3 linked regions of the Lepisosteus oculatus genome follow. The protein of the gene in region 3 binds, or shares a complex with, the protein of the main gene of each other region. Links are inferred from orthologs where the notes say so. Each region holds a gene or a part of one and is shown on either strand. Other genes may lie near its edges.

Evidence for each region. The genes of interacting proteins can lie anywhere in the genome.
Region 1: the proteins of A-type potassium channel modulatory protein KCNIP2 (region 3) and kcnd2 are in contact, whole or in part, in a cryo-EM structure (PDB 7UKH), measured with the Homo sapiens proteins. The link is inferred for Lepisosteus oculatus from reciprocal best matches to the Homo sapiens genes KCNIP2 and KCND2. Residues at the interface, in NP_775283.1 of Homo sapiens: Arg112, Gly113, Phe114, Asn116, Glu117, Cys118, Val123, Phe128, Ile131, Tyr132, Gln134, Phe135, Phe136, Tyr144, Leu148, Phe152, Phe165, Leu169, Ile172, Leu173, Arg180, Trp183, Ala184, Leu187, Tyr188, Met201, Met205, Ile208, Met211, His228; in NP_036413.1 of Homo sapiens: Val5, Ala7, Trp8, Leu9, Pro10, Phe11, Ala12, Arg13, Ala14, Ala15, Ile17, Gly18, Trp19, Met20, Pro21, Val22, Ala23, Ser24, Gly25, Pro26, Met27, Pro28, Ala29, Pro30, Trp55, Asp57, Arg61, Arg100.
Region 2: the proteins of A-type potassium channel modulatory protein KCNIP2 (region 3) and kcnd3 are in contact, whole or in part, in a cryo-EM structure (PDB 7W6S), measured with the Homo sapiens proteins. The link is inferred for Lepisosteus oculatus from reciprocal best matches to the Homo sapiens genes KCNIP2 and KCND3. Residues at the interface, in NP_775283.1 of Homo sapiens: Arg112, Gly113, Phe114, Asn116, Glu117, Cys118, Val123, Phe128, Ile131, Tyr132, Gln134, Phe135, Phe136, Tyr144, Leu148, Phe152, Phe165, Leu169, Ile172, Leu173, Arg180, Trp183, Ala184, Leu187, Tyr188, Met201, Met205, Ile208, Met211, His228; in NP_001365898.1 of Homo sapiens: Val5, Ala7, Trp8, Leu9, Phe11, Ala12, Arg13, Ala14, Ala15, Ala16, Ile17, Gly18, Trp19, Met20, Pro21, Val22, Ala23, Asn24, Cys25, Pro26, Met27, Pro28, Leu29, Ala30, Pro31, Asp33, Trp54, Arg60.

What each region holds. Positions count from the first base shown.
Region 1 is NC_090702.1:40,357,673-40,368,374, forward strand, and holds the start of kcnd2 (A-type voltage-gated potassium channel KCND2), read right to left. Parts: upstream 4,706-10,702; 5' UTR 4,169-4,705; intron 3,860-4,168; 5' UTR 3,769-3,859; coding exon 2,657-3,768; intron 1-2,656. UniProt on the Homo sapiens protein: Voltage-gated potassium channel that mediates transmembrane potassium transport in excitable membranes, primarily in the brain. Mediates the major part of the dendritic A-type current I(SA) in brain neurons.
Region 2 is NC_090700.1:31,940,445-31,951,035, reverse strand, and holds the start of kcnd3 (A-type voltage-gated potassium channel KCND3), read right to left. Parts: upstream 4,706-10,591; 5' UTR 4,202-4,705; intron 2,243-4,201; 5' UTR 2,169-2,242; coding exon 1,063-2,168; intron 1-1,062. UniProt on the Homo sapiens protein: Pore-forming (alpha) subunit of voltage-gated A-type potassium channels that mediates transmembrane potassium transport in excitable membranes, in brain and heart. In cardiomyocytes, may generate the transient outward potassium current I(To).
Region 3 is NC_090699.1:44,615,756-44,626,698, forward strand, and holds the start of A-type potassium channel modulatory protein KCNIP2, read right to left. Parts: upstream 4,651-10,943; 5' UTR 4,365-4,650; coding exon 4,286-4,364; intron 1-4,285. UniProt on the Homo sapiens protein: Regulatory subunit of Kv4/D (Shal)-type voltage-gated rapidly inactivating A-type potassium channels. Modulates channel density, inactivation kinetics and rate of recovery from inactivation in a calcium-dependent and isoform-specific manner.

The sequences.
Region 1 (10,702 bases), on a different chromosome or scaffold from region 3:
GTTACAAACTACTAATAAACAGTAGATTTACACTATTTAAATATAGCAATAAATGGAGCATGTTTTTGCTGATAATACACTTTGTAGTATTAACAATTGAACGGAAAGTACAATAAATATATATTATTTATACGTTTAACTAACAGATTTGTAAAGCTTGAAACCAATTACAATGTAGTAGCAATAATTAATATCATTAACAAGCATTTTATTTCCACAAATTATAGTCCATATTGCATTGTGGTATTCTTATTAACCTGACATTGATTGCTTTTTCTAAAATATTAAAAATATTATCATTCTGATAATTCTATCTTTTTAAAAATGATAATTTCAGCACTGAAAAATGCAATCCATCAGAATTTCATGTACTCCATTTTTTTTTCATTTCTTTGTTATAAATTCAATATTTCTATTTCTCTTGAATATCTACATGATCTAATCTTTTAAATTACTCTGCTCAGATTTTGGTTTTGTTTGCTCTAGACAACAATTGCAGCTCTCTTCTCACTAGGATACCTGTTCCAGACATCCACAGTCATCAATTCATCCAAAACACTAGAGCTTGACAGGGTATTTTGTTTGCCCAACCTCTCCTATAAAATCACTCTTTTTCACATTCTTCAAGACTAGTGTAATGTGACGTACAAGTGAATGCGTACTGGTTGTGCAGCAGATATTTCACCACAGAAAGTTTCCAACGTGATCTGCGTGCAGAGTAGGTTCAACAAGTACGTTAATTACTTACTGCACTCTTCATCACTCTTCCTCTCCTATCTCCAGGATTTTGTCTATGTTTACAACACCTTCTCATCTCTATTCTTCTTCTGGCTACTTGAATTGCTCCTTTTCTTCATCCTCCAGTCCATCACTCATTCCGCTCTTGCACCACAGTGATGGAACCAGCTACCTAGATAAACCAAGACTGTACAATCTCTGAAAGCTAATTCGAACCAAAGACCCATCTCATTGTATTTTAACTTCAAATACAGTACATTATCTTGGTGTTTTCTGTTCAGGAATAAAGAGTTGTACCTCACGCGTGTATGCTTATCGCAAAAGCTTTTTATGCTATGTTGGATTCTAAGGATTTATTTGTACAGCAATTCCCCATAGTACATTACTTTCAAACACTATGTTTTTTGTTGTTAAAAATGTCTGGAATACATTTGTCAAATAAGGTATTTATTAAATAAAACTTGATACATTAGGCACTAACTACAGCAAATTGAGTTAGAAAAATTAACATCTACAAACAAATTTGTTTAGGTTGTAAGTCACATTTCACTTCTGACATATTATTTATAACTTCACAAAAAACAGTTATTCATTTATCCTTTCTTTAATAAATAAGGAAATTGATGCATACTACAATTCATTAATAACGTGCTCTACAGAACTGTCTCAGCATTTACCCTAGAGCCCAAAATTTGTTAGTTCTTTTTTGAGTGTTGAGGAGTAATTGCATTTTCATATTGATATTATTGAGTCTGAAACCCAAGACACAATCTGTGATTGAGCTCTGCTGATAATGCATCTATTTTCTTGTGTGACTACATATTGATTTATGACATTTTCCTTAGTTCATAAGCATGCATATATTTAAAACTAAACATTTTATTATAGCACACTAGAATGATCAAATTCAATCTGGAATAACTATTTGAGTCTGTCATCAATAATACTGATTTATGACTGATTTCATGTGTTAGCTTAGCTACACATTCAGTTCTCATCTTCAGGACTTAAAATATGCTACAGACAAACTCAGTACCATGGACAGCACACAATGTTTCCCACAGATGGACTATAGTTATTGTTACTGTATTCTGCAGGACATTGTATAAATACATACAATCTTCAGCTCATCATAATTATCATCAAAGTCCACTATATGACTGGTTTATAAATGAGTGTTGTTTGTTCTAATGAATATCTTGGAACTGACAGCACTTTTGCGGCACCTCAAAAAACCACTAACCACATTTAGACATTTTCTTGATGGCTTTTTTTATCTTTCTCTGCATTTCTTTTATGCAGAATACACTACATGAATAACATTAGCAGGGCGATCTTAACTGGCCTTCCAACTTTGGCTTTCTCAAAATTTAAAATAGCGTTAATAAAGAAAAGACCAACATGAATATGTGGCTAATATACAGTTTAGAGTACATAAGCTGAGAGGGAGTCAATTCAACTAGTATTTGGTCTTTGGAAATGTATTTTAAAAACCCACAAGTCACATTTTCTTTTTAATAAAATCTATTTCCTTGCTGCATGGCACTTAATAGAAATGCTTTCAGAAATTAACTTGATCTACAATATAATCCATAAATTGGCTTCTTAGCATATCATTGTCAAAACTAGGATGAGTCTATTTCATATGGTTACAAACAAATTAACTTTCAAGGTCACAACAGATGTCAAAACCCATGTTAGTGGTATTATTATGCAATATTTCACTAGAGGCATTGTGACCCTTTATATGGGCTGGGGATGTTTTGTGTTAGAACTTTGTCACTTCTACTTTAGAAGTGATTGGGTGGGGCAAGGCGGAGCTGCGAGTATGTTCTCCTTTTGATATATAAAAATGAACTTCACATACATTTTACCATGGGAGTGAAGAGAATAAAGCATTACCAGACCCAACACCTACCCAAGTGTTGTCATGGTGACAATGGTGTACCAGAAAGCAGCAGGAATGCTGGTGAACTTGGTGGCTGTTGATCCTTTCTCTGCGTAGAACATCACCGTGGCAAAAATGATAATAGCCATTGTCAGGGAGAAGAGCAAGAATCCTAGCTCAGATGCGCAGCTCTTCAAAGTGTAACCCAAAATACGCAGGCCCTGTGAATGGCGGGAAAATTTGAAGATCCGAAATACACGGAAAACCCTTAAGGTTACAAAGGCACCGCTTACATCTTCATTGTCCGTCATCACTAAACCAATATAATAGGGCATGATGGCAACCACATCAATGATGCTCATAACGCTTCGAACAAACTTGTATCGACTAGGTGCAGCGAATAGGCGCAGCAAGTATTCGACTGTAAAGATCATGACACAGGCTGTATCCAAGCAAAAGAAAGCCAAGGCATAGCGCTCTCCACAAGGCTCATCCCTAACTTTGTTCGGTAAAGAACCACAGGGCACCGTCTCCACCACGTTGGCTATAACGGAAACAGCAATGAAAAATCCGGTGACATAGTAAAATACCAGCGCTAAAGTGCTGGTGTGAGGATTTTCAAAAGCCCGCCACATTGACTGGCGCAAGGTCATATCCGGCACAACTCCATCGTTATTGTTCTCCGTGTCAGCGTCATCTTGAAGCCTTTCAGCATTCTCTCGCCGGCGGTCTTTATATTCTTCATAGCAACAGTCACCAATAATTTCAGGGATTATGCCGAAAAACGCGAGTTCCTCGTCATAGGCAGATATGCATTCATGCCGTGGGTAGTGCAGTTTGCCAGTGCGATAAAAATTAAGTATGTGTCTAAAAATGTCAGGGTCTCTATCAAAAAAATACTCATTACTTTCCTCGTGGAAAAAAAAGTCCCGCTCCGTGCTTCCTAGTAAGGTGTCTGGGTACCTCTCCAAAGTATTCCTCCAGGTCTGAAACTTCGTTCCACTGACATTAAGGATGATAAGACCATCCTGTGGTCTCCGTTTTTCTCGTGGGGGTGGTGGCATAGGTGCACTGGCCACTGGCATCCATCCTATGGCCGCTGCTCGGGCAAAGGGAAGCCAGGCTGCTACTCCCGCTGCCATTCTGACCTGCTTGTCACACGAACACCAGCTAAATCAGATTACAGATCTCCCTCGGCGATTAAAAAACTACAGCGAGTTGACGAAAGGTCATCTACAAAAACAGGGTTAAAAAAAGTAAGAACAAGCATCACAACGAAAATGTTACAGAGATACAGCTGTTGTTGTTTCGTCTGGACTTTTCATGTTCCTTTCTGTATTACTTTTATGGTCAGCAAGCAAGCAGGTTGAGCATCACTAAAGCAAACAGTGAATCACATGCAGTGTAATAACTGATATCGATCAAGATACGTAAGTTGCAGTCCAGTTGGAATTAAAACACTCTGATATGATCGTTTATAATAATAATAATAATAATAATAATAATAATAATAATAATAATAATAATAATAATTACACGTACCTCCACAGAAAGTCGATGGATTTGAAAATAAACGCATAGAGTTTCCTTTTCTCCTTTCTCGTGTTCTTACGAAATCCGTTTTGTTCATTTAACATGAAAAAAAAAACCTGTATTTTAGTACCAGAACTACAGGATATGCACGGTAAGGTGTGAACACAGCAGCAACAAGTTCAGGAGAAATTCAATCACGTCTGATTATGTTAAAATCATTCCTTGCTCTCAACACAGAACGTGCCTTATTATTTTCTTATTTGTGTTCTTCACGATAACGTTTTTTTCAGTTTTTGCTTGTATATTGTGCTCAGCTTCTCTCATCGGCTGAAGGACCACCTCTCATAAACCTGCACAGTGGGCTGAAAAAAAGCAAAAAAAAAATAACTGCAGGCTATTAAAGCTTGTAGCTTTGGAAATGTCACAAAATCCAATAGATGGAAATAAGCGAAATCAATGCACGGATACAATGAATTGAAGAAATGTAACAAGTTAAGTCGGTCGCTTCTTCTATTTGCCCGTTCAGTCTACACGAACAAGAGTAGTGTGCACAAGTTGCTCTGTGTTCTGTAGAAAACGGAGGCGTGTCATGTGCTACAAGCATCAATTAACTCTTATGGATACTACAGTATATTTTGTTCTCATTTGTTAAGAAAATATGTTCAATAGTAAGCAGATTACTTAGAATGTGATTCAGCACCAAGGAGAGCAAACAACAAGCAGGTTTGGTGCTTTTTTCTTTAATATTTCCTCGTGTTATAGGAAACGCACACATTGAAACTATTCGCTCCGGGCGCTAAAAACAACGCAGCAAAACATAAAATAGACAGAGATTGCTTTTTTTTACAGTTGTATTCTACAGGCAACAATATTTCTCATGCACACAAGTTGTTGATCTATATCTCAGATACAAATACATGCTTAATAAAATAAAATGCCACTAGATGGAGACAGCCATTAATTTAGACACTAAATCACTAAAAGAAGGTATGAACCTACTGTAGATTCGTATGAAGCTCAAACACTGTATTAAGGAATGGGCATTAATTCCCAGCTGTCCATGAATTGATTCAATAGTCGCCTATAACGTATAATATATAATTGATCTTGTCATAATACTGCCTTAGGGATCCTCACTTAAGCAAGTAATTTATCTGTGTTATAGATTGAGAACATTAATGGTTTGTGTTGCCACTGCAATTAATAATTATTATAACAATAGTAGTAGGAGGGGTTGTGGAGGCATCGTTTAATCATTTTTAAGAAAGTGAAAAGGTTAGAATTTAATGATACAAAATGCTGTTCTGTGTTTCTAGCGCAATTGCTTCAGTCCAATTGCATTGATAAAAAGAAAATTATTGACATCTGTTTTGCCAATTGACCACATTCGCAGCCTCCACAGAGTTCAAGACAGCTTGTATTCATGTTTTATTATTTGCCCCTCTTCCCTCTGGCAATATGTGTGCATGTGTGTGAAGACCTTCCCCTGCCATAATAATGTCAATATCAGCTACAAAAAGTAAGCTGAAAAATCAAAATACACATCACGTGAACTGCCTTCATTGATTAGACAGTATTTTTAAATTATTTGATAGTCATTTAATTTCCAATAAATCTCTTTTTTCCTCTTCTTCTTAGTGGTCATAATAGTACTGCAAATAGCAGTTGTTAAAGTAACAACAATATGGGATGGGCGATATGCAATTATAATTAAAACACCACAGCACATACAGACAAAAATGATTAAGAAATCTCCTTCTATGCAGTACCTTTGCACAGATAGGTCTCATCTGTATGTGGCAGGATTTTAATGAAAAATATTTCCCTTGGGTGTGGTAGGATTCCAAATGTTAGCAGATTAGTATTATTGCAAAATGATTTTTATAATGATAAAAAATCTATCTTATGATAACCAAATGTCATGGTATCATTAGTTAGACAATATTTTCATTAAGCATTATTCATAGGAACAATATAACAAATATGTTATTTTAGGGAGCAATGCTTCCATCTGCTAACTTTTTTACTTCAATTTGCTATTCTATTTACTTCTTCTATTTACTGAGAAGTGTAATAGCGCAGTAAACACCCATTTTATCTTTGTGACTTTCTGAATCTTTGAACGTAGACAAAAATGTCAAACTGATTTCTTCTCTTCCTCAGGTTGCAGGACAACGTGCTGTTTTTAATAATTTTAATATAGAAGAGTGCACAAGTACCTACTGTATAGCACCAGAAGCACTCATGATGAATACATCTACCAATGCTACCAATTCTAATTCAAAATGATTGTATTTAACTTTACTTTTGACTTTTGGATTGAAGTGAACCTTCAGAGGAATTGAGATATAGCATTTCCCAAATTGTGTTATACAGTACAATTTTGGCTGTAGGGCAAGTTGATTTTATGCAACTGCTGAAGAGAATTATGGAAAATTCTGTTTGGACTTCCTTAATTTGAAAATGATAACTATACTGTAGTTTGTTTATTGTTGTGAGCAGAATGTCTGTTTGGGGCTTTTTAATTTTATCACTGTCAATATTGTAAAATACATATTTAAAATCCAGTAACAAGTGCCCATTAATCCTTATGCATTGGCACTGGTTTCTTTATTATATTGTAGGTATCCATTATAAGTATTAACAGTGAAGCACAAATCAGAGTTCACAAGTGGAAACTATGTCAATTTACAATATTTACAACTATTTACAGTATATCTAAGAACAATAGACACGTCTTTATCTAAAGTGTCATGGGAGAATAAAGCAAGCTACCCAGCCATGGTTTAGAAAACCATTTTAGGCTTTAGGTTTTAGGTTTTAGGTTTTAGGCTTCTTTAAAAAAATGACTGGATGAGATCCTCTGATCAATTAACTACCAAATGTACCAGCTAGGCTGAATGGCCTCCTCTTGCTTGTGTCTACTCTTGCTTATTACATTTTTAATTGTAACAATTACTGGGTTAATTATTCCTGAAGAACATATTAACTACTAAGTGAAGAATTCGGCTTTTCAGGACTAAGGTGGAAAATACTAGATTATTTTAATATAAGGGAGCATTTATTGTTTTAATATTTCACATGAAAAGATCTGAATAATGAAATTCTATTAAGCTTTTAATTATAAAATTGGAAATTTAGTGTATTTATTTTTTAATTGTGCCTTTTAATTGGAAGCTTGTAATTATTCCTAATATTCCTATTTCATATGCTCTGCTACTAGAAATAATAATATTTAACATACAGTACATAAATAAGTTTTGAATAAATAATTGAATTGTATTTAGTATAGTGCCCATGAATTGCTGTGATGTATACGGTATATGGTTATTACATTATACAGTGCCTTGCGAAAGTATTCGGCCCCCTTGAACTTTTCAACCTTTTGCCACATTTCAGGCTTCAAACATAAAGATATAAATTTTTTATTTTATGTGAAGAATCACCAACAAGTGGGACACAATTGCGAAGTGGAACGAAATCTATTGGATTTTTGAAACTTTTTTAACTAATAAAAAAATGAAAAGTGGGGCGTGCAAAATTATTCGGCCCCTTTACTTTCACTGCAGCAAACTCACTCCAGAAGTTCAGCGAGGATCTCTGAATGATCCAATGTTGTCCTAAATGACTGATGGTGATAAATAGAATCCACCTGTGTGTAATCAAGTCTCTGTATAAATGCACCTGCTCTGTGATAGTCTCAAGGTTCTGTTGAAAGCGCAGAGAGCATCATGAAGACCAAGGAACACACCAGGCAGGTCCGTAATACTGTTGTGGAGAAGTTTAAAGCCGGATTTGGATACAAAAAGATTTCCCAAGCTTCAAACATCCCAAGGAGCACTGTGCAAGCGATCATCTTGAAATGGAAGGAGTATCAGACCACTGCAAATCTACCAAGACCTGGCCGTCCCTCTAAACTTTCAGCTCAGACAAGGAGAAGACTGATCAGAGATGCAGCCAAGAGGCCCATGATCACTCTGGATGAACTGCAGAGAACTACAGCTGAGGTGGGAGAGTCTGTCCATAGGACAACAATCAGTCTTACACTGCACAAATCTGGCCTTTATGGAAGAGTGGCAAGAAGAAAGCCATTTCTCAAAGATATCCATAAAAAGTCTCGTCTAAAGTTTGCCACAAGCCACCTGGGAGACACCCCAAACATGTGGAAGAAGGTGCTCTGGTCAGATGAAACCAAAATGGAACTTTTTGGCCACAATGCAAAACGATATGTTTGGCGTAAAAGCAACACAGCTCATCACCCTCAACACACCATCCCCACTGTCAAACATGGTGGTGGCAGCATCATGGTTTGGGCCTGCTTTTCTTCAGCAGGGACAGGGAAGATGGTTAAAATTGAGGGGAAGATGGATGCAGCCAAATACAGGACCATTCTGGATGAAAACCTGTTGGAGTCTGCAAAAGACCTGAAACTGGGACGGAGATTTATCTTCCAACAAGACAATGATCCCAAACATACAGCAAAATCTACAAAGGAATGGTTCACAAATAAACGTATCCAGGTGTTTGAATGGCCAAGTCAAAGTCCAGACCTGAATCCAATCGAGAATCTGTGGAAAGAGCTGAAAACTGCTGTTCACAAACGCTCTCCATCCAACCTCACTGAGCTCGAGCTGTTTTGCAAGGAAGAATGGGCAAGAATTTCAGTCTCTCGATGTGCAAAACTGATAGAGACATACTCCAAGCGACTTGCAGCTGTAATCGCAGCAAAAGGTGGCTCTACAAAGTATTAACGCAAGGGGGCCGAATAATTTTGCACGCCCCACTTTTCATTTTTTTATTAGTTAAAAAAGTTTCAAAAATCCAATAGATTTCGTTCCACTTCACAATTGTGTCCCACTTGTTGGTGATTCTTCACATAAAATAAAAAATTTATATCTTTATGTTTGAAGCCTGAAATGTGGCAAAAGGTTGAAAAGTTCAAGGGGGCCGAATACTTTCGCAAGGCACTGTATATGTATATATTCCAGGATGGAATTATATTCATTTAAACAGTGTTAATATTATGCTAATATAAGAAAACTAATGTGATATATTATTTGCCCTGGGCTTCCACAGATGAAGATGTACTGTATTATACGTTTTTCCCCTTCAACCTGTCATGTATTAATCTACTCTCATAGTGGTTCTCTCAGATCTATGTAGTATTGTTAGATATGCTATACAGTTTGCTTTCTCTTAGGCCCCTGTTGGCAGCTCTCAGGAGAATTATTTGCCTATTAATTATTTATATTATAATTAATATTAAATATTAATATTTATATTTTTAATAATACTAGATTATCAGTAGTGCCTGCTCACATTCTGTTTACTGAATTCCCTGTAGATCTTTGGATTTTCTACCTGTTTGGTTATTTTGCGTGGCTGAAAACATGACGCAACCTGGTCAAATAAAGATCAGTTCTTACCAGCAACAGTTCACATCCTGACATGTTGTGAGACATATAACATAAGTTGTTTGTAATCTCCTCTGAAGTGTTAGCAAACACTGGTACGTCATTGCAGTCAGGTAGTTTTGAAGTTGTTGTACCAATAGCTAATTCCACTGCACCAGGGTTAGGAGAAAGACCTTTAATTGTCCTTTCTTTAACATACTGTATTTTGCTCAACAGACTGTGGTCAATTATGCTTTCAATAAGAAATAAATCATTGGGGAGATCATGTGACCAAGGTTTCAGCATGGTACACAAAGACTCCCCTATTTTCTAGTCACCAGATATCTTTTTGGAGGTTTGTTTATGGTGATCAAGGATGGTAAAGGCACAGAAGAAAATGGACTCATCTCCTTTTTCTCCAACATGCAGATGCTGAAAGAGTTTAACCATCCAGAACTGACTAAAATAGCTGTTCTGGAGCAGAAAGCTTTGGATCAGCCTATGGAAGATGTGAGAGTCGAGAAGGCATCAGGGACTTCTCAGATTGTATTAGTGGTGAAGAACGTGTTGACAATAACTATTCAGCAAAATTGTTCTAAATTAGACTCCTCCCCAGGTGAATAACAGAGAAAAAAGATGGAGTTAAGCTGAAATATCTGGCGAGCAAAGTAATAGAGCATGAGGATAGATAAAGATAAACCAACAAGGTCTTACTAGAGGGATCAGTCCATAAGCCCCTGATTGTTTTTCTGAATAAAACATCCTCTGAGTGTTTCCCAGCTCTAGCCCAAAGAGATCTGTGCATTGAAATGGCTCGTGGGAAAGATCTATTCACTTTGATCACCTGAACTACATGGGATTTTGAAGCTGAAGCTGAGGCCAAATCAACCCTGATATGAGAACGATACTGTCCCACACTAATATGGTCCTTAAACTAGCCAGTGACTGCTTGTTTTCCCATTTTAATGTCTAAACCTTAATGCTGCTCCTTAAATCAGAACTGGAGTCAGAAGTTGTATTGTTCACCTGAGACCTCCCACCTCCTTTCCCAGCAGAGACCAAGCTCCTTGAAGAGTAAATTCACTGGGGAATGGCTAAACCACATGGACGCATATTTCCCTAATCTATGGAAAATATCACCATTTTATAC
Region 2 (10,591 bases), on a different chromosome or scaffold from region 3:
GCTTCTTGCTGCTTGCTGGAATACCTACAGACTACTTTACTTTACCATACTGCAACATGGACAGGACAGAGGCTCAGATCTGAACATTTCTACCAATTTTCCAGACATGTCTGGGGCTAGGGTTACTCCAGAACATATAGACAAAACAAGCTCAAGAAATACTCAGGCAGCCTAGTATTAAATAAAATCATGTGATGTATTTTCTGTTGTCCAAATCTTTATAGTACATAATAATAATCAATGTCTGATAACAAGTGAAGGCAAACGTTGGAAATGGCACCTTCTTAGTTGATAAACAAAATGTATGATTGAGGGGTAAACAAATGCGTGGAAAACAAATCAGGGATTTATTTACAACAAAATAATGAAAATAATGAAAACTGAAAGAAAGGTTTGCAAAAATTAATACTGATATTCTTACAGTTTAGCATTAAGCAGTTGAATACAATGTTCCATTGAATTGTAATTGTAATGGGGAAAAAAGCAAAGCAAGTTGTGTTTTTAACAACGTAAATAAGAAATGTACATGGGTTCGCACTGACCATACAGAATATTCTGAAGGGAATGCTTTTTATTAAAATGATCTTGTGTGTCATAACTGAGAACAAACAATTGCTAAGCTAGTGCTTGAGTGCACATAAAAGTACTGAATTCTATAAGTGTCTGTTGTGGTATAGGCAAATTGTTGCCACTTTTATAATAAAAAGGCAGTGCTGGTATTTGGCTTTAATGTGCTGAATTAATATTTCAAGACACACAGATGTAAAATGTGGACAGAACACATTTCAAGTACTGCAAACTTCCTTGTGTGAATCACAGACACACTGCATTCAAATCACCAGCAAAACACAAGCGAAGAGCTTTGTCATGATGGCTTTAATCGAATATCTGTCTTATTTCACCCAAGATTACCAGGTACCAGGATATTACCAGGTTTGGTGTTGAGATAGTATCTTCATCAGCTCAACAAGATACAGTGAGGCTCAAACTATAGGAAAAAGGAAAGACAAAGAGGAGGAAAATGAGAAAGAGAAAAAGGTGTATAGGAAGAATGCCTCTTACCCAAGGGTGGTCATTGTGACGATGGTGTACCAAAATGAGGCCGGGATGCTGGTGAACTTGCTGGCAGAGGAACCCTTCTCAGCGTAGAACATGACAGTGGCAAAAATGATGATGGCCATGGTCAGGGAGAAGAGCAGGAAGCCCAGCTCGGAGGCGCAGCTCTTGAGGGTGTAGCCCAGGATGCGCAGGCCCTGCGAGTGGCGAGAGAACTTGAAAATCCGGAAGACGCGGAAGACCCTTAGGGTGACGAAGGCCCCGCTCACGTCCTCGTTGTTGGTCATGACCAGGCCAATGTAGTAGGGCATGATGGCCACAACATCGATAATGCTCATCACACTGCGGATGAAGCGGTAGCGGCTTGGGGCAGCGAAGAGGCGCATAAGGTACTCCACGGTGAAGATCATGACGCAGGCCGTGTCCAGGCAAAAGAAAGCCACAGCGTAGCGCTCCCCACAGGGCTGGTCCTTCAGATTGGGTGAGGAGCCACATGGAACGGTCTCCACCACATTGGTGATGACTGAGATGGCGATGAAGAAGCCGGTGACGTAGTAGAAGACTAACGCCATGGTGCTGGTGTGGGGGTTCTCGAAGGCACGCCACATGTTCTCGCGGAAGTTCAAGTGCGGCAAGTTGTCTTTGCTATTCTCTCCGTCGTTGTCGTCCATGAGGCGCTCGGCGTTCTCCCGCTTGCGGTCCTTGTACTCTTCGTAGCAGCAGTCACCGATGATCTCTGGGATGATGCCGAAGAAAGCCAGCTCCTCGTCGTAGGATGAGATGCACTCATAGCGGGGGTAGTGCAGCTTGCCGGTCCTGTAGAAGTTGAGAACACTGCGGAAGACGTCGGGGTCACGGTCAAAGAAGTACTCCTTGGCCTCTTCGTTGTAAAAGAACTCCTTCTCTGAGCTTCCCAGTAGGGTGTCAGGGTAGCGGTCCAGTGTGGTCCTCCATGTCTGGAAGCGCCTCCCGCTCACGTTGAGCACGATCAGCTCATCCTGCCTCTTGTTCTTGTCACTGGGCGCAATGGGCATGGGGCAGTTGGCCACAGGCATCCACCCGATGGCCGCTGCCCTGGCAAAAGGGAGCCACGCTGCTACTCCCGCCGCCATGGTGACTCCGGCTCGGGGCGTGGGGAAAAAGTCTTCCACCTTTAAAACCAGCTTGCCTTCAGGTTGGGAACCATCTAAGAGCAAAATAAATGGGTAAACCAGTTACTTTGGTCACGGCCGTGATCTGATTTATTACCCGATTCCTTGGGGTACTTCAAGGAATGGCTTGACACGATCATGATTAGATACCAGCAAGATGGACAAAATGGTGTCCTTTGCTTTGCTGGATTACCATTCTTTGCTCCTTTCATGCTGTTTCTATGATTTTAGTGTTTTGCACAATGTTAAATAAAGTTGCAGGTATATTGGTAGCCTCTATTCTCCACCAAACGACTAACTGAACCACAGGTGCTATGATTTTGCTATGACATCTCAGGGATTCCTAGGTAAAACAAAATAAATGTATTAATGAGTTGTTTCTTGTACTTGTTATCACAGATAATAGAAAAAATTGATCTAAGTCATGATAAGTATCATGTAGGAAATACAAATTTCATCAGAGTGTGTGAAGGGCTAATGAGTTAGACATTTTCTGAAAGGGTTTTTAAGGAATAAATTAAGAGAAAATGACCTGCCTATTGAATTTACCAGCCACGAAATTCACCTTGTCCTTTATTCTAACACTTGTCCGTTTTACAAGACACAATCTGGGCTCATCAGTACTTGGTGTATGTTTACATTCCCAGTGGAGTCACCGGCTGGAAGAGACATTGTGTTAGGATGCACAAACTGAGAACAAGATTAAAGGACCTATTTCACCGTGGTTTGAGCTTATGTAATTACAATAATAACAATAACAATAACAACACCAACAAAACAACAGCTATTATTGTTGTTGTTATTAATAATACTATTATTATACGACTACGACGATTTCAAGATGACGATGATGCAAAGTTTACATGTATATGTATGTTCTGTCGTATAAGCGACACGCAGGCTTAAAGTGCTTAAAATGAACTACAGTATGTGAACTCCTGTTGTCTGTGGTCAACAGACGCATTCCTTTTTTTCCTCAGCAATGGACCGAACAGTCTTTCACAGGAGCGGGTAGTGCAGCTCGCATCCGCACACTCAGACCTGAAGCGCTGACGTCCCGGTACCAGAGTCGTTTTTTTATGTAACCGATTCCTACAGTACATCGGATAACACAGCTGACAAGACAAGAATAACCACGTGTAGGCAAATTGTTGCCACTTTTAGAATAAAAGGGCAGCGCTGGTATTTTCAACAAGTCACTTGCTCGGTGCGAGGCAGTCGTTGGGCATAACAACGCCGATGTGGCTCAGGTTTCGCTGCTTGGAATTATGTTCTCTTCGATGCGAAGCGCAGGAAATTATTTTTCAACAAGAGATGCCAAGGTATCAAGAGATGGTACATTAAACTGTCGGTAAACATAAACGTTTTAAAATCTCTCAAACCTTGATAGAATATGTCTCTTCGGGGGATCGAGATGCGACTAGAGGGTTCGATACCTGTTGAGCATTAACTGCAAAGAACAAGAAGAAACAGAACATCTTTTCCTCCCTTAGATTGTGACTATGATTTGTGAAAGATGTGGAAAAAATACTCCCATCTATCAACAAATACCGAAATCGTGATGAAAAGCCGTCAGAATCCTGTTTCACAAATAAACGAAGTTGAACGGCCATTCAGAGTTTTGCACACTTAACAGGTGAAAACTGATGTATATAATATATAAAACTAAAACGGCTCTGAAAAAATGACTTGTAATTATTACTGCTATTACTATTCTAAAGGCAATTCTGAATTATTCTGAAGAGTTCCTCGTTTGCCAAAAATGTTCATCACAAGAACGCACAACTGGCAACAGAATTTTTTAAGTCTATGTGAATCTACAAGCATGTTTCCAAAAGTCCCGCGATGAAAATAAAAGAAGATGCTATTTTATTGTGACTGGAATGTCGGAATACTGCACGACATCATGTAACATTACCAACATAATACTGTCTACGACCGAACTTTCTTAATAAAATAATGTAAACTTTTCTTTTTCTTTTCTATACACTTACCTCTAAGGGGAAAAGATCCAATAAAAAGAAAAAAAGAAAAAAACAAGATTATCCTTCGGGAAAGTAACTCTGAAAATTGTTGCTGCTTGTCTTTATAGAGACGCAAATCCTTGTGAGCTCCAGAGTACAATTAAGGAATTAAAAAAATTCAAGTAGGAGGCGATCAGAAACAAGTGAACTCGCGCGTACTGTGGATGCAAAAGCTTTGTCACTCTGTCCCCTTTTCTGTCAGATAGCTTTAGCTGAATGTCTCTTATTCAGCGCTCGAGATTCCAGCGTGAACGTGTATTCCTTTCGCTCCATCAGTTGGTAATGGTACCCAGATAGGCTGGGATGTTGTGATGACACCTTGCAGGATGCTAGGATGATGGACAGAAGAGGGAGTCTCTCTCTCTCTGCTCTTTCTACCCCCTTATCTCTCTCTCAGATGGTTTCTCTCCCCCCTCTCCCTTTCCTTTCCCCCTTTCCTTCTCTCCTTTATACAGTATGCTGGCGAAACGCTTCTTTCATGAACACAGGAAAACCAGAGAAACACACCGAGGCACTGTCCGCTCACTTAAAGATGCCGTCTCCTGGCTCGTGTATTACACAGGCGAGGCTGTCTGTGGGTTGGTTTTTTATTTAAATATATATTAGTTTTTCTTAAATGACCGTTTAATGAAGGATCATTTTGTTTCTATACAGTATATACAATGTTTTGGGGGCATTTTGTGCATCTTGGTAACAGTAAACATTGACGGCTCTCGTAGTGCGTTTTCCTTGCTGACAATTGACACGCGTAATTGTATTAGTCTACTACTGTACAAATGTGTTTATTTATAGCCTAACACAGTGCGTCCTTCAGATTTCCACTGTGACACGTCTTTAAAAAAGAAGCACAGGCAACCTAAATAACGCCTCCAACATTTTGCATATCACGAGTAAATTACTTGTACGTGGTCTGGCGTAGTAATTAAAAAAAAATGGGTGCTTGTGTATGCGAATCATTTGGTGTATTGTAAAAATACGTCGTATTTGGAAAATTTACCATGTAAATTGATTTTACGGTCTCGGGGATAGTGGGACTCGACGAGGCTCTTAAAATGCCCCAAATCGAAATCAATGCGTCAATACATCTTTCCAGGTGATATTTCAAAACAATAAAACAATTCTGTCATTTTTTACTATATATTATCTATGTACTGTATATGACCATATTTGTTTTTGCTGGTACTGACCACTGCTAAATCTTAGTCATTATTTCAAGCTGATCGAATAGGCACATTCAATCACCATACCTCCACAGCTGAGAAAAGCCGTATTCCGTATCATTACTTTAATCAGATTGCTGGCTGGGCTCGTACAGTATCTACTGTAGTTAGGAGAAGCCTGGAGTGGCAGATTCTTACTGAGCTACAGGTTAGACTCCTTTGAACATAAAACAGCTAACAGAATCCTTACCAATACAGTGTAAATGTAAAGAATCTTAAGAGTGGTATATTTATTTGGATTGTGATAACTTTGCCCACGTCTTGTGTCACATTAGATTTTTTTAACTGGTCTAAAAACAAGAAAAAAATATATTTTCTACCATTTGCAATGGTAGGCAGATGTGTAGGACTGTTGTTCAAATATCCTACTGTGAGAATCCAAGAGGCAACACACAGAAAGTGCCAGGATCAGACTTACCAACTGTTAGAAGATAATTATTTTATGACTGATGAAGAAATTGCAAAGATCTTCCCTGGTTTCCCCCTTGCACAGGCAGCAGTGTGTTAAGAGAGGCAGGAGACTGGAACTGCAGATCACTGAGTTTTTTGGCCCATTTTAGGTACAGGGGTGTGCTCGTCATTCAGGAAGGAGAGGCAGGTAGGAGGCAGGAGGAGAGAGAGATTAACAGCTGCAGCTGATCAGCTTGGGAGGTTAGACACGAGAAAGAAAGAAAAGGAAAAACGGACCCCATATCAAAGAGGAGGATAGAGGGAAAATGACTCTGCAAAATACAATTTAGAGGGCTCAGAGGCTCCAAGACAGACTGTTCCTGGTGGTGGGGTGCTACAATATCATGGGTGGACTCAGTATCTTATGAATGTAAAAGACTCGGGGTTTGCTGCTATAACAATATATACTGTACAGTACATTACATAGTTTCAAGTGAGCACTGTACTGTATACTGTATGGTGTCAGTTGCCAAGACCCAGACATGAGATTATTAAAAAGGTGCCACCTTTTGGTGCTGTGGTGCTTTGGTAACACGATATTGGATCTGAGCAGAGCAATAAGACCCACCTGCAAATGGCAAATTGTAGACCTTGTCCGTTTTGAAAATTGTTTTGGGGGTAATTTCCAGTGGCTTATTGCTTCGGCCACAAGAAAACATGGAATCTAACACTGTGTAAGTTGTAATTGATCCAAACCAGGGCTCCAGCCGCAAACTATGCTGAGAGTGGTTTTACTCATTATAAAGAGGAAATTCTAATAAAGTAGTCAGTAAATGTTTCTGTAAATACACATGCAATATCTTTCAGGAGTATTATTTCCTTGTGCTTCAAATAGAATCTGAAATGATGGGTTCAGTTTTAGTCTGCAAAAAAAATCAATATGCAACTGGTGACTGCCTGCCTGCCTAAGTAAGGGAAAAAAGGTGATGAAATTAATTTTGGAAGGGACACTATTTCCAATAGTTTGTGTTCATGAAACATTTGCCTTGGCCTCAGGTTAGACATTATTAATCTCCTGCTGGAATGGACAGCAATCATGTCAGTGTAAAACTGCAGTTCCCATTTCAGTTCTTTAGCAGCAATGTATTATCAGCTAATCTGCTCCTTTGGTTATTGTGTCATTGTCAGTGGAGAAACCCCTGTGTACTGTACAACCTTTACTATTTTAAGGGGTGCAGGCACCAAAATGCAGCCTATCTCAGAAGCATAATGAACTCACATGATATCTGTATACAATTGACCTGCACACCAGTCAATTGTAGGACCAAGGAAAAAGGGACAATTTAGAAGAACCAGTCATGCCTACACATTGTGTCTTTGGGAGGTGTTAGAAAACTACACCATATGGGGAAAACCAATATGAATGCTGGATAAATCCGCCAACACCACACAGAGACACGAAGAAGCCAACCCAGGACCATGGACTGGTGAGGTATCAGAACTAACAACTGGGGTCTTACTACACTGGGTCTTCCAGCACAGTATGCCCCATTAATATTGTAAATACAGTTTATACTGTAGTTAGCATTAGGGTTAAGATTGCAATATGTACAGCACATATGAAATCTCCACTTGGACATGCTGGTGGTCTTAGGGCACCCTGTGGACATTCAGACACAGCAGAATATAGTGGCAGATGTACCTTTATAGACGTACAGTATAAGAAAATGTAGGTTATTGGGACATTTCAATTCCCCAATAATAATTCCCATTTCTAGGATACATATTATATTGTTACATATTACACTGAATATATAAAACATTAGGAATGTTTTCCTCAAATTGTGTTGCACCCCTCAGAACCCTCAGAACAGTCTCAATTCCAGTGCACACAGTTCACACAGTTGTGTTGAGTTGGTTGGTAGTGGGCCTCTACTCTGAATATCTTCATTCTCATCCCACAGATGTTCAAGTGGATTTTGATCTGGTGACTGGCCAGACCATTGTTTTAAGCTGAATTCATTGTCATTTTTGTGGAACCATTCCTGTACAATCTTAGCCTTGTGGAATGGGGCATTATCTTGCTAAAAAAAACATCAATTCACAGCTGGATACACTGCTGTCATGAATGGAAGCTTCTGATCGGCAATGATGTTCAGATATTCTGTGGTATTCAAATGTTGTTCCATTTTTATCAAGGGGCCCAATGTGTGCCATGAAAACACACCCCACACCATCACATCACCACCACCAGTTTGCAATTTTAAAACATGGCTTGATGGATCCATGGACTCATGTGGTTTTCTCCATACCTAGTACTCACATCAGAGTGAAAAAGTAGGAACTAGGATTCATCAGACCAGGCAGTGTTTTTCCAATTTTCCAGTGTCCAATGTTTTAATCCCTGAGCCTCATACAACAGCAGGCTGAAGGAAGTGATGCTCTGTAAGGTTGTCAGTTGCCATACCCTATTTGTGTCAAGGTGCAACGAGTTGTGTGTTGTTTTATTGGTATTTCAGCACCAGTGATGCACTGGACTGTCAGTTGACAAAATGTATACAGTCTGTTGATCAGCACAATTCATGTTGAATGATTCTTTCACCTCTTTCATCAATGAGCTGTTTTTGACCACTGGCCTTCAGTTGGTTGGATGCCTTTTGTGTGATGGACCATTCCAGATACACACAAGACACTGTAAAGCTTGAATACCCCATCAGCATTGCAGTTCTTGACACACTCAAACCAGTGCACCTGGCACCTACCATCATACCCTATTCAAGGGCACTTAAATCTCCCTCACATACACAACTCATGTCTCAGTTTTCTCAAGCCTTAAAAATCCTTCTTTAACCTGTCTCCTCCCCTTCATCCACACTGACAGAAGTGGATTTCACAGGTAAAAACAATTAGGGGTCATAGCTTTCACCTGGATACACTGGGTCAGTCTATTTCAAGGAAAGAGCAGGTGTCCCTAATGTTTTGTACACTTAGTGTATATTACACTACAGTAACAGATTCATCAATATGGCAAGTCTGACTTGTTTTTTCTCAGAGTAGTGAGTGGCTTCAAACACCTGCCAGGACAGTTTGATCTAGACTCCTCCACTTCCTGTGCCTCCTCTCTTGGGTGATAAAAATTACAGTCAGTTGACACACATGAACAGGACACCCCTAAAATTCATCCATTTTAAGGAGCTTCAGCCCTACTGACTAAACCTACTGTAGCTCTGGTCCTCAAGGACAACGCCCAGCTGGTTTACTTAAACATACAGCACGAGGCCTCAGGAGGAGAGTTAATCAGCTCACCTATGTCTTACATTTTACCATGGTCTGAAATGTCTGTGGTGTTAAAATATGTGGAAAGCCTGCTGTAATGTTGCCCTTAAGCAATGGTCCTAGAAGGCCTGAATGATGTAGCTGCTCTCTTTCCTTTTATGTTGACAAAATCACCCAATATTGTTGTTTTAACTTTTGTTTCCAATTTAAAGCTCAGATAAAAACTGTCAAATTCAGCACTCATACTTAGACTGCTGTCTGTGCTAGTACGTATGCGTAAGGCCCATATTAAATCAAAACATTGACCCTTGCAAATCACGAAACCCTAAGATTCCTTTATCTGCTCAGTAGTGTATCTACAGGTTTACATTGCAATCTCAGGGCAGATTAAAATCTAGACTTTAATCTGTCACCATTTAAGAAGACAGCATGTCTGAGCCCAACCACATCCTTTAAGTTTACCAATGAAGGCACATTCGTTTTTTGAAAAATGCAGGGTTTGACTTTTATCAGCTCTGAGCACTCCACCTCAAAAAAGCAGGCACAAGAACACCAGACAGCTCTCCAGACTGAGCGGCAGACATGACACGACAAGGGCGCTTTGCATGCTGGGAATCATTTTGAGCTTCTTTTGAAACCATGAGACAGGCTTGGTGTTTTCGGTTATGCAGAATAGCTGACTTGCCTGCCCTGAAAAAGAATAATTAGTATTTAGGAGTGTGAGCACTGATAGAGATGTTGAGGTAGGTCAACTGAAAGCAATTGCGGCCATCTACATTGCAATGCAATTCTTTTGTGTTCTGAGCTTAAGCCTGTTTTTATTAGTTCATGAATCTGGTCTCACAGTCCTTTCACTAGTAGTTTAGGAACATAATGTAAAAGGGTGCTATCTATTTAAACAAAACTGCGTATAGGGACTCTTCCTTTCCAGCCTCTAAAGGAGCTTGTTAAGAGTACGGAGAGGGAACAGAAATCCCCAAAGAGGTGAAGCTTAGGTGAAGCTCTTTATGATTTCTTATCTATTGCACATCTCCAGTTGTTTACACGTCTGTATTGTTTACATTCAAACTGTCTACATGTTTACTTGCACATTGTCTATTGTTTGTTTGTACATTGTCTTGATGCACTGTTTGCACTTTGTCTTGTTTTTTACACTTATTTTACAATAGAGAGACTTTCTGTAAGTAAGAATTCCATTGTACCGGTTACATATGGCAATAAAGTTCAAGTTCAAGTTCAAGCACAGGGCTCACAGCTTTCATTGCAGTGAGAGTGTTTAGGACTGTAAACAGCAAATACTTTTTTTTACAGTATCCAAGGAGATCTGGAACAAACTACCCAAATATTTTTTTAAGCCTGATCCCATTGGATCCTTCAAGAAATGGCTGGATGAGATCCTCAGGTCAAGTAGCTGCTAACAATCCACTAAGCAAAACAGAACAGCCACCTTTTGATTTGAACTTTTCTTGCTTTC
Region 3 (10,943 bases):
ACACACTTTTTGTGGTGCATTATGTGGCGAAAGCAGCAAAACAATAAATGTAACTAATTTTGAAATTAAATGGATTTGAGCTCTGAAATGATTTTTTTTAACCTGATTCAACCAGTGTGAAAGGAAATCTTGAAAGGCTTGGAAAAACTGGAACGCTTTCTGCAACGAATAACGATCACCCATGTCGCAGAAGCTGACTCCCTGGTATCCTTTAAGGACTGGGTGGATAACAGTCCGGAATCAATTTGGTTCTAAACAATCTAAACAGCAAGATGGATGCTATTGCCTCCCCTCTTTTGTCTTGAAGTTTCTCCCATATTTATTTCAGCAATTACGATCTGTCCTCTGATCTGTGGTAAGAGTTCCAATTAAATTTGAGATTTTTGCTATTGCATTTAACACAGCTAGGTTTACAGGTATTGAAATGCATACTATGACAGAAGACCTCATAGCTATAGACTGTACTTTGGTATGTTTTCTATTTGTAGCCAACCAAATGCTAAGATATACAGTATAATGAAGAGTGAAGAATTACATTAAGCAATGTTAGGTTACAATTATGCAATGTACTAATCAGACCTCATTTCTAATATGAGTACAGCTGTGGTCAGTACATTAGAAAGAAATCTTTGATGCCCTGGAAAAAGCTTAAAAACAGAAGGACTTGCTCGGGCATAATGTGGGTTATGTGAAGTTGAGTCCCTAGACCTATCCTGAAGCAGCTTGGTGTGATCTCATTTATTGCCTCTCTTATGCCCTTAAATTCCAGTATCTCAGTTCTAACATGGCCCTGGAGAGGTCTGGTGCTACAGGACGTGTGATATAGTGCCTGCTATGTCAGTGTCACTCACTGGGAGAGACCTGATGAACAGCTGTAACTGCCAGCACGCGAGGCTGCTCACCTCACATGCTCAGCTGTAGAAGACCCTCTCGACCTTCTCGGCTTTACAAGCCCATTCGTTTCCAGCTGTCTCAGAATAACTACAAAAGGACCAATTGTACGGCCTGAGGATTGTCCTTGACTTCTCTGTAATGAATACAGCCATATAGTCGCATATTTTCAAGGCAATTCTTGTGACACCAAATTAGGAATGTGAATCGTTGGCTCGTGCTTGAACTCTCTGCGATTGCCCTTGTACTATACCTAACAGAGCTGCTCTGTCCAGCCCTGTTCTGCATTTCCTTCACGGTTGCTCAGTAATGACAACAGCTGTAGCTCATTAGAGAGAGACAGGGAGGTCTGATTTATTAAGATCTTGATGAGCATTAGGATGTAACTAATGTAAAAGAGTCACAAAGCTCACTGTTACATATTATGGAAGTGTTCATGTTTGCCACAGTACTTCCGCATCAATGGTACAAATAATAAGCTTCTACAATGCAAAAGACCATGCTGCCATACAGTATATTACTCTGTTTGTGTCTGTTTCATTTGCTGTTTAGTGCTGTGTTTGTTGCAATTCTCCTCCTCATGGAATAACACTATTAAAATTGCATAAAAATCAATCCCTTAAAAAGGGTTGGCATGATGGTGCAGTGGTTAGCACTGCTACTTTCTAGGTTTTTGGTCTAAGGTTCAATCCCAGCCTAGGACTCCTTCTGTACACAGTTGATATATTTTCTGTATGTCTGTTTTATTTAAGCCTCTCTGCTTTCCTTCTACCACCCAAAGACACTTTATTTAGGTTAGGTGATGTCTACAAATTGTGTGTGTGTGTAGGCCTGTAAACTGGCATTTCATAGATGATATAGAGTACAGTAGTCTCACCTTATACTCTCAGCATGTGGGATAGGTCAGGGTTGCCACAGCTTTTGCCATAAATAAGCACCTTTCTCATAGTGGATAGATGGAAAGCTTAAAACAGTCTAACAGTGAATTTTAAACTCACTTCTTTCTGACTGGCAGGTTATTAAACACTGCATTTCAAATCTCTTCTGAAGATTGTGAATACCTATTTCTCCTGCAGCTCATACAAATAACACATCTCTAAAAGTTAGTGTTGGTGTTTGGGATACATTATATACAGTATATTAGTAAGGTAAGGATAAAAAATCCAGAGGCATGGCAAATATTAGCGATAGGGTTAAGGTTAGACAAGGGCTTGTGTGTAACAGTTAGTGGATGTTTAAGGACTCAGCAATAATCCCAAAGAGCTTTAAGGTGAACATTTTGAGAATGTGTTTGCTGATGAAACCTGCTGTCTACATAAAATACAATTAGGCTTTGTTAATGAGCATGTGCCCAGTCATTAAACCTTCTCTCGGGAATTTTCACATTAAAACCTGACACTTAGGTCAACAAGCCAAGAGGTAGCCATCACTAAACACAAAGAACACATTCACACACAGGATCAAGAACACCACCACACCACATGCAGTCAACCATGAACCAATGAAAAAAGCCAGCTTTCCAAAAGTGGAGCAATTTTGCTGACCTGGCTTTACATATTGTTCATCACTTTTTCAAGTTGAAGAGTGGTTCAGCTGACACTATCGGATTAACATCAATGGCAGACATTGGGGTGAAAAAATAAAAATCTCTTTCTTAAACTGCAGTTCAGGTACAATGCCCAAGTATGATGGGTAGAGTAAATACTGGAGTTCCACTTGCTGTACATATAGATCTTTGCTAATAATTGTTTTCATATGTGAAAATCTGCAAAACATCTGAAAGAAGACAAAATTTGAAAATGTACCAAAATGGGAACTACTGCAGACTTCTAAATACTGTAACTGCAGTTTTATTATAAACTGTAATCTATAGGCAGAAGATATATACTGTACTGTACATTAATTCAAAAATCTCTTGGAGCCTTAGAAACCGGACATGAATCACCAGGAAAATGAGAGCTGTAAATGAACAGGGTGACTGATTTGTGAATCAGTGATGTTTGGGGGGAATATTTACAAGATAATGCCACCCTATTAGTTGGCATGCATTCGGCTGTCCGGTATGTGACACTTTGTGTTCTATGTGGTGATGAAGCATCATTAAACAGATGCCTGATAAATGTAGAGACAAACATAGGGATAAATCATGAAAGACATCCGTCAATCATAGTGAAATACACTCCATTCTCAAAGCTAAGAGCTGTGCAGTAGGAACAATTGATAGGTCACAATAATTAAATGTCTGAGAACACATTCTGGTTCTATTTGACAAGCAGCTGTTTGTCTGAAAGAACAACAATAATTCTATGGCATCTTATAGACATCTTAAACTTCACCAGCTGCATACTATAAAAAGCCATTGTGAGTAAAATCACAGAAAATTACATTGCTCTTCAACAGTCTCAGTTTGTTCCTGTTTTTTGTTTTACTATTTGCTTCTCAAATCTTGTTTTTGAGTTTTCCGAATATTTCATTTGGTCTAAAACAGAGTTCATATTTCTTCTAACTCCTCTAAAATATGGTCTCTCCCTTATTTTAACTAGTTTACTAGTTAAATTATAAGAACTCTTTCCTGCTACACTAATGCTGACACCTGAAAACTGACATACAAAAGTATGTTTTGCTACAGTATATATTAGCTTAGTAATACTTTCAAAGCAATATGACTTGTACTCAGTGATGTAGATCATTTTTTAAAATTTTTTGGTACTTCTTTGAATTTTGATATGCATTTTGCCCTCCTTACTCTTTCAGTGAAAAATACACACAATCAACAGCAAACTTATCTGAAGCCACACCTCTGTTCAACTCCTCTCCAATACCTACTCCTGCCAAGCAAGAAGCTAAACTACAGTATCAGCTCCACGACATTGCAAATTTCATGGTTTTGCTGCAGCTAAATTAATTGGTTAATGCAAAAGAGCAGTTACCAGGAAGCTCGCGGTTCAAGTCCTAGCCCTGTTTCTGACTTCAGTGTGTCTCACCTCACATGGCTTATTTAACATCCGAACTGAGTTCTGAGCTGCATGGGAGAAACAATCTCCAAATCCTGTTGTACTGTACGACACTGTGCAGCAGCTGTTGCATATATTAAACCCAAACCTTTGCAAGTCTCTTTCACAAAAGCTGCTAATTCACTAAAGATGATTTGTGCTACCACTGTATGTACATTCTCCTCAAACCATATTGAACGAAATCTTCTTTTTTTTTATTTTCACAAAGAATTACGCATTATAGTTTTCAAAATTTCAATAAAAGCAAGTAGTCTATTTCCTTGTAGGTCATTGGCTAACAAGGTTAATTGATTGTTAGCACTACAGATACCTACAGGGTGCTCAAAGCACAGACTAAAGCTGTGAGTGCTACTACAGAATAAGCCATCTAGGAAACTTACTCCTCCCCCTCTTCCTCCCTGGGATCAGCACCTTCATGGTTTTGAAGAGCACTCCGGCAGTCTGTGGAATGAAGGCCATGTCTGAAGAAAAAAGGGATCAGAGCTCCTGGCAACTCTTCACTTCTCTTCCTCCAGCTTTTACCTCTCCGCCTCTGTCCCTGCTCATTTTTGCCTCATCGCCCCCCTCCCACACACCCACGTCACTTGGTGCCTGACAGGCCACGTGTCGTTGGTCACCGGGCTGTGGATTTATATCCTCATCACCACAGTGGAGCCGCGTCCAGCAGGTTCAGGCTGCGAGTCGTCACTGATTTACAAGGAGATGGCACGGGGACAGTCACCAGCCACAATCAAACACTCCCTCTGCTAATGGAACATGTCAAATTGCGGTAGACCTCCATTAACTGGTCCGCTGTTAGCCTAGTGAGGAAATGAGAGCTGGCTCATTTGATCACATACAATGAGATGCAAGCTCATACACATATACTGTATGTCCACACATATCCATGCCGATTATGCAATTACTCTCAATTACAGCTACCTGGTTCACAAAATCACCCCTATATTAACAAGTGACACCCAGTCAACTCTCTGTATTACATGCAGAAAAATGAGGAATGCTCTGATTTGTACCATTTAACAAAATATAAAGCAGAAGGTATTTACTGTACATATTAAGACTCAGATAAAAGCCATGTGTTGCTGTGCAAAAGTGTCTGCTTCTTGATGAGGCAGAAATGTCATCAATCAATCAATGATAATCTTGCTTCACAGGAATGGATGTTGTGTAATGAACTGTGATTGGAAAGGTCCTGTCAGGTGCCTGTGTTTTATTCTCCTTTGTTATAAGACGTGACGGGCTGAGAGGCTGGAATATAAACGGAGGAGTGTGGTGCGTGTCGAATTCTGTCCCAGTCATGTTGTTTTTTGTCTGCATAGAAGGCACTACTGCTGCCAGTGTCTGAGACATACTGTACTGCACCTTGATGAGACAATGTCAGCACACAAGTCAGTCCTCAAAATAAGTTAGGCAAGCAATAGTCTGTACTTTGATGACAGGCATCTGAAGAAAATGAGGTTGAAACAGTAGGTGGCAGGGAACTCTGTGCTGTAGGAAATGCAGCCTTTCAAACGAGACATGAAACTATGGACCTAGATATTTTTATTCATTAAATTCCCTATAGCATGATTTAAAATGTCTATTTTCTCTGCCTAATGTGTATATTTAAAATGGCTTTTGGGCACTGCCCCAGAGGGTGCTGCACTTCAATGGTGGATGAGATGACTTTCCTGTTAGTTAGTTAGAAAGAGTTTTGGGATGAAAATCACTACATGAACACTACAGTAGATGTTGTTATTTTAGGTAATGACTCAATGTACTCGGGATGGCGCCACGGTTAGTTGCAATGCTGCCTCATTCAATTCCAGACCCGAGGTGCTGTCTGGGTGGAGTTTGTATGTTTTCCCCATGTTTGCTTGTGTTTCCTCTGGGTGTTGTGTTTTTCTCCCACAGTCCAAAAACATACGAGAAGGCTAATTGACTTCTGGGAAAATTGGTCCTAGTGTGAATGTGTACAGTGCCTTGCGAAAGTATTCGGCCCCCTTGAACTTTTCAACCTTTTGCCACATTTCAGGCTTCAAACATAAAGATATAATTTTTTTTATTTTATGTGAAGAATCACCAACAAGTGGGACACAATTGTGAAGTGGAACGAAATCTATTGGATTTTTGAAACTTTTTTAACTAATAAAAAAATGAAAAGTGGGGCGTGCAAAATTATTCGGCCCCCTTGCGTTAATACTTTGTAGAGCCACCTTTTGCTGCGATTACAGCTGCAAGTCGCTTGGGGTATGTCTCTATCAGTTTTGCACATCGAGAGACTGAAATTCTTGCCCATTCTTCCTTGCAAAACAGCTCGAGCTCAGTGAGGTTGGATGGAGAGCGTTTGTGAACAGCAGTTTTCAGCTCTTTCCACAGATTCTCGATTGGATTCAGGTCTGGACTTTGACTTGGCCATTCAAACACCTGGATACGTTTATTTGTGAACCATTCCTTTGTAGATTTTGCTGTATGTTTGGGATCATTGTCTTGTTGGAAGATAAATCTCCGTCCCAGTTTCAGGTCTTTTGCAGACTCCAACAGGTTTTCATCCAGAATGGTCCTGTATTTGGCTGCATCCATCTTCCCCTCAATTTTAACCATCTTCCCTGTCCCTGCTGAAGAAAAGCAGGCCCAAACCATGATGCTGCCACCACCATGTTTGACAGTGGGGATGGTGTGTTGAGGGTGATGAGCTGTGTTGCTTTTACGCCAAACATATCGTTTTGCATTGTGGCCAAAAAGTTCGATTTTGGTTTCATCTGACCAGAGCACCTTCTTCCACATGTTTGGGGTGTCTCCCAGGTGGCTTGTGGCAAACTTTAGACGAGACTTTTTATGGATATCTTTGAGAAATGGCTTTCTTCTTGCCACTCTTCCATAAAGGCCAGATTTGTGCAGTGTAAGACTGATTGTTGTCCTATGGACAGACTCTCCCACCTCAGCTGTAGTTCTCTGCAGTTCATCCAGAGTGATCATGGGCCTCTTGGCTGCATCTCTGATCAGTCTTCTCCTTCTCTGAGCTGAAAGTTTAGAGGGACGGCCAGGTCTTGGTAGATTTGCAGTGGTCTGATACTCCTTCCATTTCAAGATGATCGCTTGCACAGTGCTCCTTGGGATGTTTGAAGCTTGGGAAATCTTTTTGTATCCAAATCCGGCTTTAAACTTCTCCACAACAGTATTACGGACCTGCCTGGTGTGTTCCTTGGTCTTCATGATGCTCTCTGCGCTTTCAACAGAACCTTGAGACTATCACAGAGCAGGTGCATTTATACAGAGACTTGATTACACACAGGTGGATTCTATTTATCACCATCAGTCATTTAGGACAACATTGGATCATTCAGAGATCCTCGCTGAACTTCTGGAGTGAGTTTGCTGCACTGAAAGTAAAGGGGCCGAATAATTTTGCACGCCCCACTTTTCATTTTTTGATTAGTTAAAAAAGTTTCAAAAATCCAATAGATTTTGTTCCACTTCACAATTGTGTCCCACTTGTTGGTGATTCTTCACATAAAATAAAAAATGTATATCTTTATGTTTGAAGCTTGAAATGTGGCAAAAGGTTGAAAAGTTCAAGGGGGCCGAATACTTTCGCAAGGCACTGTACATGTGTGCCTACCCTATGATGGACTGCTGTCCTGTCCAGGGCTTACCCTGCCTTACACCCATTATTGCTGGGAGAGTTTCTGGCTTCCCTGCGACCCTGAATTAGATAAAGTGGTTGGGAAATGAACTGACGGACTTTAAGTAGTTTTGAGACTCCCCTAATACTGCAACAGAATCAAATTAACCTGGGCTGTCTGTTCTCCCTGCACCTGCTGCGTCAGTGTTCACCAGACTCCTGGCTGGCACAGTGGCATTCAGAGCTCCAAAATCCCACAGCAGCTGGCATGAGCCATTTCTGTCTCCATTGGCTTCGCTGGCAGCAAGCTGCCAAATTTCACCATGACACTCAACAGGTGGCTGGCTAACAGACAGTGGCTCAGCAGGTGCTGATTGATCACCTGTCCTAGATTGTTGCCTTGCTTTCCTGTCACAGATTCACATTGAGGTTAGATCAGTTAGGGCAAATGCAATTCAAAACATACTTTTAAAATAGCATTTCCACAGGGGAAAACTATGATTTTAAGCCTGATCTTTCATCAGTTGCTAAGATATGCAATTATGTTTTTCCTTAACTTAGTATTGGCTGTCCTGTTTATCCATCTTCTCCAAAGCAACTTAAAACTGTTATCCACGTATACAAATGTCTGTTTTACTGAAGTGATTTCAGTGACATATAATGATCAAGAGTACAAAAGAATAATATTTTCTGTGATGTACAGTAAAACAAACAATTTTCTAGTTACAAGTCTTGAGTTCTTAAGTCCTACCTTACACTGAGGTTGCATCAGAACTAAATCAGCTCACATGGTGCTCTAAGTTCATGTTTAGCTTATATTTAGCAAAGATTCTGTTTCTTTGAGACTCTGGTTTCTTTTATTTTCTGTTACTAATTTTGGGAGAGCCAATTTTGGGTGTAGCTTGGGCAGACTAAGAAGCATTGATTTGGTATGAAAGTGTTTTTAATGAAGCCGTGCCAAAAATGTCTAATATTGTGATGAACCCAAAATAAAAATAAAAATAAAAAAAAAAGTTCAATTTAAACAAAACATTCAAAGCAACAAGAGCATTCAGTTCAACTAAAATATTCTGATTGCAGAAGTACTGTATTCACTCCCTTTACTTTGGCAAACTTAATTTGGCTCAGGTTCACAAATTACTTTGACACAAGGAGCCGATTGGCCCCTGCAAGTGCACACTAATATTAGTTAACTATTTTATAATTTGTAAAATGCACATTTGTAATCTTAATTTAAACTACATGGAAAGTAGTGTGAGTTTTGTACATATTGTAACTTCAAGGGTTACAATATTTGCAAGAATTACCTAAAAATAAAGCACAACTATCTTTTCTTCTGAACATTTTGTGCTACTACACCTACAGTACTTTAGAGGGACGTGTGTGAACTGGTACTAATGCATCATGGTGGGCACTTCAGCTCTAACTTGTACTACTTCAATACTAATACTGTATTTACTACTTTTTTCTAATATACTATACTAATATTGCATTCTCGACAAGAGTAGGTCGTTATCCCGGTGTCGGGGCCAAATTTCCCCCCTTGGCTTTTACCTTGGCCTCCAAATTGTCCCCATGTATGATTGGCTTGCACTTGCCCTGCGATGGACTGGCGCCCTCCAGGGTGTACCCTGCTTGCTGGGTAGGCTCCGGCTTCCCGCAACACCGTATAGTACAAAACGGTTTGGCAAATGACATGACGTAATTTCTAATATTTACTGATTTTTCACCATAGTGGAATCTCCTATTTTTTCCTCTCCTCCCAGTTTGCCAGAGTAGCACTGCTGTTAACAGGCTTTCTCTCTGCTGCTGGCTTGTCACAGAGGCCTGGCACCTAAACCAGGGTTCCTTTCTGGGGCTAGAGTCCAGATGTTGGCAGCTGCCAGTCCTGTGCAGTACACTGGAAGAGGGGATGAGGGAGGGGCTCTGAGCAAACCTCAGTTCCCCAGACATACTAAAAGCGAAGAGCAGATGGCCAGATCTGAGAATAACACCATGGGTTTTAATGTTTTTTAACCTCTTAATTTCTGCCCTGAATAAAATTGCTCAGCCTTTCTTTCAGCTAACAACAGGGGTGAAGGTTTTTCTAAAACTGCACTTTTGCTGCGTTTTGTTTCATAAACAGAAGATGTAGAGTCGAGAGAATACTCAGCTTAACCTTTATGTGCCACCAAGAAACCACTTTTCTGCACTTGTAAAAATGCACGCACAACAGTCTGATATACAGTTTAATACCGTAGTTCAACGGGGGTACAGTTCATAAAGACTAAATAAATAGACTGAGTGTTTTTCCAGGGAAATTTCAGAAATAACTAAAACTCACAATGTATACATCTACACATTGCTTTCCCCTTTTCAACACATCAATATCAACACACAACAAAATCAATATTTATCTGCCTGGTTCACTCCACTAGCTCACACACACCACATGCAGGCTGCAGAGAAACACTCAAAACTCTCTACTTTTGTTTTTAACACCTGTTCCACACACTGTCATACACACCAAGGACTGCTGAACAAGGTTTCAAGTAGTCTCCTGCATGACTTTCCACCCCTGCCTACTACTCTGTATGCACTGACTTCACAAGGAGGTTATATCACAAAACTCCCTATCGCAATGTCACAACCTTCTCTTTACACTGCTCCTTCAAGACCAGACTCTCTCACACATCACAGAAACTTCAAATCACATCTTAGAGGAAAGAGCAAAGCTGTTCCCTTTCAACCTGACCCTTTGTTTGTTTTATTAAAAAATGCAGTATTTTTACAAAAGTCTTTTCCAATGTATTTCTTTTTTTTTATTCTACACTCTGTGCTCTGACTTGGGCATTAAAAAACAGTTTCCATAGACGACAGCTGCAATGTCTATGGTACACCAAAGGGAAAACACAAAAAGCTTTCAGATTTCCTTTAGTGAGAACGCACAAGTAATAAGGATCCCCTTTATCTTTGCTTTAATTGAACTCATGGCAAAATGCAAGGTCAAATATCTACTGTGCAATCAGTGAATATACAGTATGACAGAGCCCTGCAGTGTATACAGTAAAACAAGAAATGTATAAACCTGGCTTACTAACAGAACCTGATCTGATCCAATCACAATATCCAGGCCAAACAGGACCATACTGTATGTGCCCCAGTCTGGGGGAATACTTACAGTATATGAGTTCAGCAAGTACTTTGTTTTCCTTACCTCTGCTTGAGAAGTCAATCAAACCCAAGAAGTGCAGCAGTTTTAACGAGCTGCAGACGACCAATAGGATTCCCACTGTTTGCAAACCTTCCATCTCCCACTCTTCCCGGAAGAAATGCATCTTTTAATGGGGGGCAGTGGCAATAAATCTGTGGATCAGGCACCTGCCCCTCCAAAACAGAAACTGCCTGGGACCGCTGGGGGAGGGGGTATCTACACTTCGAGTTCTCAGTTCTCA